2 linked regions of the Caenorhabditis elegans genome follow. The protein of the gene in region 1 interacts with the protein of each later gene in a pairwise test. Each region holds a gene or a part of one and is shown on either strand. Other genes may lie near its edges.

Region 1 (2,852 bases):
TTTTAGTACTAGCACTCCCTTTTCAGTTTCGTTAGTTTCGAAGGATTTTTCTGAAAATTTATTCAAAGAACACAACAACTGAACAAAAAACAAACGTGTTTAATTACCGAAAAACCTATTGCGGAATGAATAAAAAGCTAAAATTCCGAAAAAAAAACATTTGACAAAATTTCAAAACATCCCGTTGCGAAGCTTTAACTTTTTGGGGCATTTTTTTGCTTAAAAGAGTAAACTACCAGATTTTGCTATTCCACCAAAAACATGGCATGTTTTCAAGATAAAAGTAACCTGGTCCAGTTCTAAAAATTCAGAATCAACTTTCAAAAAACGTTCAAAAATATCTATTTGAAGGAATTATGTCTGAGTCGGAATTTGTTGGCGCGCTTTATAGTTGTTAGCCTCTTTCGGTATCTTCAAAGATTTCAATTCCTGATTTTCATCAAGATTTCAATTATTTCTATTTATTCTCAACGATTTGATAAATAAATATGTTTAATCCCAACTCATGCACGCTGTTCAAAAACAAGGAAACACAAAATATTTACGTTTATTACTTTTTTGTAAAAAAAATAACATAGAATAACATGCACTCTCGGCTAGAATAAAAGAGAGATTAAGTTAAGAGATGGAAGATTTTAGTACATTGAGAGATACATAATAGATTATTCAGAGAGATTGGCGAAACAGCTCAACGTTTATGCACGTTCTCCACGGATGCGTCGAGCAAGCTGGATGTCCTTTGGCATGATGGTGACACGTTTGGCGTGGATTGCGCACAAGTTGGTGTCTTCGAAGAGCCCAACGAGGTAGGCCTCAGAAGCCTCTTGCAGAGCTCCGATGGCGGCGGATTGGAAACGGAGATCGGTCTTGAAATCTTGAGCTAGAATAAAAACAGTTGATTAATTAATAAAGAACATTACAATAAATATTACCGATTTCACGAACAAGACGTTGGAATGGAAGCTTGCGGATGAGAAGCTCGGTGGACTTTTGGTAACGACGAATCTCACGAAGAGCGACGGTTCCTGGACGATAACGATGTGGTTTCTTGACACCTCCGGTAGTTGGAGCTGACTTGCGAGCCGCCTGCAATTATTTCTTCGATAAAAAATAATATTTCATAATGACAAACCTTAGTGGCCAGCTGCTTGCGAGGAGCTTTTCCTCCAGTTGATTTACGCGCGGTTTGCTTGGTACGAGCCATTTCAATTCTGGTTCACCTGAAAATTATACGCAATATTGATAATAGAAGTCAGCATCAAAATATATGGAAAATGAGATGACTAAGAGCAAGCGAACAGCGTGAAAAAACGAAGAAAAGTGGTGTTTATGCGGAGACGCGCAAGTCTGTTATTATGCGACTCAACATGACCGCGACGCGGCACGCTCCGCCAGTGAATATGGAATCTTGTGACCATGTGAAAATTAGAAAGTAAAACTAAACTTGTGATTACTTTCAGAGAATTAGAGAATTTAGATACTAATGAAACTGATGAAAAAACATATCATAACTGTTAAATTTTATACTTCGATCTTATAAGAAATACTTTACATTTTACGAATTCAAAAAATTACAAAAGTTTAAGCATTCGAGGATTTTTTCAAAGACTAGTTAACGATGTATAGCGTTTTAGGTCATATTTTAACTATTCTAACTATTTAAGTAAAATATCAATAATTATTTTAAAGGTTAGCGATTTTTGTAAAATGACAGACCAGCAAGAATATTAAGAACTAAAGCTTTCGGTTCGATTCAATTTGATTGAATGGGAGGAAAGAGAGGAGAGAGAAATAGTGAGACGGAAAAAGACCAGAGTGAGATGGCTGTGAGCGAGAGCGAGGCAATGCAGAGTGTGGAGACAATATTGGGTAGAGTGAGAAAAAACGTTAGTGTAGCCTTGGAAATTATAGAATAGTATTAGAGTATACGAAAACTGTATGACAGATATCCGTTATTTAAATTTGCTATCAACACTTGGTTTTCTACGTAGCACACTAAATCTAAAACAACAGGTCACGTGGCGGAATTATTGGCGAATTTGGTGTTCGCCGGTTTCAAAACATCGGGCGAGTTCCGCATTTGCCGGTTTTGAGTTTTTTTTGGCGATCGGCGAATGCGGCAACTATCCCAAAGATTTATGGCAAAAGTCGGTTATTTTCGGCAAGTGCAGGCCAAATGACCAAATATCGCCAAAGAAAAATTAATAAGTTTACCCAGGATTGTGATATTAACGGTCAGGAGATAATAAACAGTGCTCTGAATAGTGTTTCACAAAGATATTACGTCCACCGGTTGCAGGTGGTCAGTGCTTCGGCGACTCGCCGCACCCCCTAGTTCAAACAAGCCTCAATAGGAAATATTGAATTTTCCTACAAACGACGGCACTATTTATCAACGGATTTTTAATGTTTTAATTTTCTATTGAAAAGGAAATGGAAATTTCAAATTTGTTGTTTATTTGTATCACTGTTTGGTAAACCGGCGCCACTTCTCAACCAACTTTAGCCACTTTCTAACGGCCATTTACAAAAGTGGCGAAAGTTGGTTAAAGTTGGCTAAAGTTGGTTAAAGTTGGCTAAAGTTGGTTAAATGGGTAAGCATTTTTAAGTTCTAAACAACTGGAAAACGAGTGTGGGACTTGGCAAAAGTTGGTTGAGAAGTGGGTAAAGTTGGTTAGAAAGAACATAAAGTTGGTTGGAAAGTGGCTGATATCTAATGGCAGTTTTAATAACACATACATTAAAGAAGACCCTGAAAGGTGAATTGTATACAACAGAAGAGGACAAATATTGTAGAACAAAAGTTAAAAAACGAGATTTGTTGGTTTTTAAGGCTCATAAACTAGGAGCGG
Region 2 (4,845 bases), 5.7 Mb from region 1:
GTGTAAATACATGATTTACTTCCCCAATAATTGTTTAGAATATCTTGCAGTTTCTTTGAAAATTATGTGCAAACCTCCTCTATGAGTTTGTTATGCTTCTTATAATCTTCATGAACACTATACGTACATTCGCTTGTAATATTGGGTATTAGAAATATAAAAGTACCAAATTACCGTATCGCAGAATTTAAATTAGTAAGGACATTTTTACTTATTTTTTTTTCCAGTCGTTTTCATGTGCTTCTCAAATTTTTTTTAATGTACTTTCTCGAGGCCAGTATTCTGATTCAGACATTCATTTAACTTTGAGATTTATTGTGTTTTGCATTGCATTACATTTAAATTTAAAAAAAAATCAATTCAATTCAATTATGTCAATAATGTGTACCAGGTAGTAGTTTTATTTAGTGAGTTGTGTATTCTTAATAATTACGCGTCATTACATTCTTGTGTTCCTTTCAACCAAAAAACTTAAAATTTCACTTGTCTCCTGTTTGGTCTCCGGTTGGTTTTTTTCATTCAATTTTTGTTCCAGTTTCAACATTGGCTTATGCAAATCAGTTTATTCTATACAGACATGACAAATGGCAAAAATACAAACATGTACACGAGCGTGAAAACCGAAACCATACTTTAGTAGAATCAATGCATAGATGACCGTTTTCAGTTTCTGTACCAATTTTTTGGTGCGAAATGGATTAACCGTACGATTTTGCTGACTGGGGGATGATTGGGTAGAAGTTTGAAGAATAGATAGACATGGATTGAGGAGATAATTATATTACCGAGTTATAGGTAGATAACACGAATCATGACATTTAAGTAGAGAAATTTACAAAACGGTTTCTATGTTCAAAACCGTATGAAGACTCTCTCTCTGAAACAATTCGAATGAGCATTGAAAAGTCTCAAGATTGAAATAACCGTAATCGAGTTGATGAAATGTGAGAGAAAGTGCTGGTGTGCAGAAAGAAAGAACTAATCAGAAAGATATTCAAAATAAACAGTGAGAGAACAAAAACACACAACTAGCATTCAGTGACGTGCATGTTTCCAGAGATGGTGTAGATAGGCGGAGAAGTGGATGTGCTCGGTGCGGTGGCGTTCGATGAGGTGGGAACCGGCGATGAATGTATTCTCGGCGAAAGCATTGCTTCATGACGGACAGAGCTCTCGTAGCTTGGCGGTAGAACTATTGTTGGAATTGAACCAGGACGGTCCGGAGCGATTCTGGAAAATTTATTACATGAGTGTAAATTAAGTCAAAAAAGGTTAATTTTCTAAGAGTAACATTTGTTTTGAACTTGTAGGTTTTGAGAACGATTTTTGAAAAGATTGGTTATTGAATGGCTTTCACTTTCTTCAACAATTCTTAACTGTTTTTACACTTTCCTGGTTTTGTTACGCTAGCTTTTTCAATTATTGCAAGGGTGTCAGTATGTTTCCAGAATCTTCTTATAACTTCCAACAACTATTTTTTGTTGTTGTGGTTGTGTAATGGAACTCAAACTCAAAAAAGTAAAGTAATTAACAACAAATTTCATGGAAGAATTGACGGTGTTTAAATTTCCTAGTCATCGACGCCAAAAAAAAATCACTTTCCCAATTACATTGTTCATTTTATTTATTTTTTGTACGCAACACGAATATTAAGAAATTCTATATGTCACACACGCAATCACACAGTATTAGCACTTGACAGAAGTATTAGACAACATTTTCCCTACCTGAGCACTCGGCCGCCCGACTTTCCAGACCGTGGCTTGTATGGGGGCACGCTGGAATTGAAAATGGATTAGTTGATGTCAGGGTTATGTGAAGGTATGCTAAGCTATTCGGGTTAATGTGAAGATATATGGCGAGTCTACAACTAACCGATCTCGATTCGAAGTTGTAACAACTGGATTCGGACTAGGCGTGCAACTCATAGAAAGTGCCTCTTCATAAGTTGGTAGCTCTTCTTCTCTTGCTCCGAATACCTGAAAATAATTAGAATTAGAAAAAAAAACTAGATTTTTTGTTGAAATATTAAAAAAAAAGGGCAAAAAACCAACATTAAGCTCGTGTGCCAATGTTGTTATGTATATCGGAAGTACATTATGACGGTCCGCTTCATTTGTCGAAGCTGCTCGGTTGATTGCTGCTGTTAAAAGTGCCTGAAAAAAGTATTTTTATATTTTAGTAACTCAACATCAAAAAATTAGAACATCATGTTTTCATAGTTTTTTGCGTTTTGCTTCAATTCAATTTCAAAAATTAATTTCTGTCAAATTTCAAAAATGTTTGATTAATTTTTCAGCAATACATAAGTATTTCAGAGTGTATAATTTTTTCCCATATTCACACTGTTCCCCTTCTTCTTTCAAACTTTCAACTAAATCAAAAGCATAACAAAAATCTCAAATCTCGCAGTGTGTGTGAAGCCGCTTGCAAGTAGAGCGTGTCGGATAAAAATCCATACCAGTTAGGAAAATATGTGTGTAATCTGACGGTATACACGTGAAAATGATTGTCGTACCTGTCTTCGTCTTTGCCTTTTCAGTTCAATGAATTTACGCGCCGTTTTTCGGACGGCCACACAGAAGGCCACCCAGATTACGACAGAGAGCAGCATGAGCAACACCACCATCACCATCATCAGCATATCTTCCTTCTCATCGTGCCAGTCATGCTGTAAATAATTAATCGATTAAATCAAGTTTATGTAATCAAGTTATTTTCTTATTGAAAATGTATTGTAAATATACATTGAATTTCAGATGTTTGAATAGTTGAAGGATATAAAAACGTTGTAAAAATGTATGAATATTTTGATATACCACAATTGAAATAGTTCAATCTTTCATTATAATAAACATGACGAGTTGGATTAAATTTTAAAAATAAAAACGCTTGAAACTTGTAAAATAACTACATTAAATTTATTTTCAAAAAAAAAAAACTTACCTCATCACTGGATGAGTCGGCCGCCGTCTCCGGCATACTATCTTTATAGAATGGTATAATGGTTGCTGGTTTCCCCTGTAACGAAAAAACAACTATATCGAAAGTTGTTCAAAATATGTAAATTGAGGAACAGGCAAAGAGGATTAAAAAATTCACATTGAAAAACAATACAACAAATATTGGAAATATATATGTCAAGTGCGAATTTAAGACTTATCACCTGACTAGAGAGTTCATATGTTCACTGATAGAGAGTAGAGTATATTTCCCGGTACAGTTTTAGTTCCACATAATATTCCATATCACACTCTAAATGTGCAAAAATGAGAATAAGTTGAACGGATGAGTTTGAAAAAGTCAGAAAGAGGGAGAGGGAGAGAGAAAAATAAAAAAGGGCAAAGAATTGGTTAGGAGGGTGCTATGCCGCAAAAACGAATTTTTATGTCTCTTTTCCTCAGATTTTTGAAAAGATTTAAAAGATTTGAGTATATGGGGTTATCTTCTAAATCTATGAGTGCATTCCCTTTGTTTTATTTGGTGAAAGAACAATTGTCTTCTGGTATAAGTACTTTTTGTTGTGTTGTTGATTCAATGTGAAAGTTTCATTTATCAAATTTTTATCGAATTTCACAATTAAAAAATATTAAATTTAAAAGCAATATTGCACATAATTTTCTTCTTTTTTTACTAGTTTTCAATTTTTCAAAATGTAAAACAACTTTCTTTAATTTAGAAAAGTAACATCGACCTTACAAATTTCGAATTCAAAATAAATTTTTTGACTTTTTTTTTGCGTTTTTTGATCGTAGCAAAATTACCCAAATTCCCGAAATAAAATTTACAAAAAAATCCAATCCCTTTTATGCACTTTCAGTACAAATAATTACCCAGAAAATAGAATGAGCGATTGGAAAAAACTCGAAGCCTTTAAAAAAGGCTCATCGAGAGAAAACAGCAGTCCCAAAATGAAATTTAGTCTCGTGAGGAAGAAGAACATCGGATAGAGCTTGAAGGCTCAGTGAGCTCAGAGGATTCGACCAAGAGTTCTTTTTGTTACAGAAAATGTGCACTAAAATCGATGAGAGGCGTCTAAAACTAATGAATATTCAAGAAGGATATGTCTCATCTTATTCCGAGCTTGAACTATTGTGGAATAGAAACTGGAATTGATTTAATATAGATGGAATCCCAGACTTGAACATTGTTTACAATTTGAAAATAATATCCCGAAATGCTTTTCCTTATCGGAATCTAGCGCCTGCTACACTTGAGCTTATTCTTCTCAAATACGCACATTCATTCGAAGATGTCCCCGGAGATTTTGGAATGCTCAACTCGCTGAGTTGCGGGAGGACGGAGGATGTCCGATGTGAGAAAAGCGGGTGCTCTTTTGTGAGCATAAGAGACAACACATATTTTATCAGCAACGAATTCAAGGAAACCGAGAAAAAAAATGTCAGAAAGAGAAAAAAAAAGAAACAACTAAACGAGGCTGAAAAGGAAGACGGAAGAAAAAGTGACAAGTTTTGTGCTGGAATGGGATTCCGGCGCGGGGAGACCAACAAACAAAGGCAGAAAAAATATGGGATGTTCGTTTCGTCTGATGGGTCTTCAGACTTCAAGAGCAAGAAGAAAAAAAACATTCATAAATTTCAACTTTCACGCCATGCTTTTAATGTTTTCCTGCCAATTTTCAGTCTCATACAGCAGCGACCAGAAAAAAAATTGCCACTTGACAGCGGGGGCACAGACCACCATAATTTTTGGCAGTTTTCGAGAATTTTTCCGGCAATTGAACTAATTACAGTGGATGACCGAAATCAAGGTTTGAAGGTGAGGGAGAAGTGGTTGAAATAATACATATACTCAAGAAAACAAACTTGAAAATGTAAGACTGGT

The links. Proteins that work in one complex are often made in the same cells at the same time.
Region 2: the proteins of his-71 (region 1) and C04A11.1 interact in a two-hybrid assay, tested with the Caenorhabditis elegans proteins (one large-scale study listed by BioGRID).

What each region holds. Positions count from the first base shown.
Region 1 is NC_003284.9:7,980,851-7,983,702, forward strand, and holds his-71 (Histone H3.3 type 1), read right to left. Parts: upstream 1,221-2,852; 5' UTR 1,205-1,220; coding exon 1,133-1,204; intron 1,087-1,132; coding exon 933-1,086; intron 881-932; coding exon 696-880; 3' UTR 532-695; downstream 1-531. UniProt on the Caenorhabditis elegans protein: Variant histone H3 which replaces conventional H3 in a wide range of nucleosomes in active genes. Constitutes the predominant form of histone H3 in non-dividing cells and is incorporated into chromatin independently of DNA synthesis.
Region 2 is NC_003284.9:13,658,684-13,663,528, reverse strand, and holds C04A11.1 (Protein hu-li tai shao), read right to left. Parts: upstream 3,024-4,845; 5' UTR 2,983-3,023; coding exon 2,947-2,982; intron 2,672-2,946; coding exon 2,519-2,671; intron 2,157-2,518; coding exon 2,055-2,156; intron 1,980-2,054; coding exon 1,876-1,979; intron 1,779-1,875; coding exon 1,728-1,778; intron 1,231-1,727; coding exon 1,029-1,230; 3' UTR 549-1,028; downstream 1-548.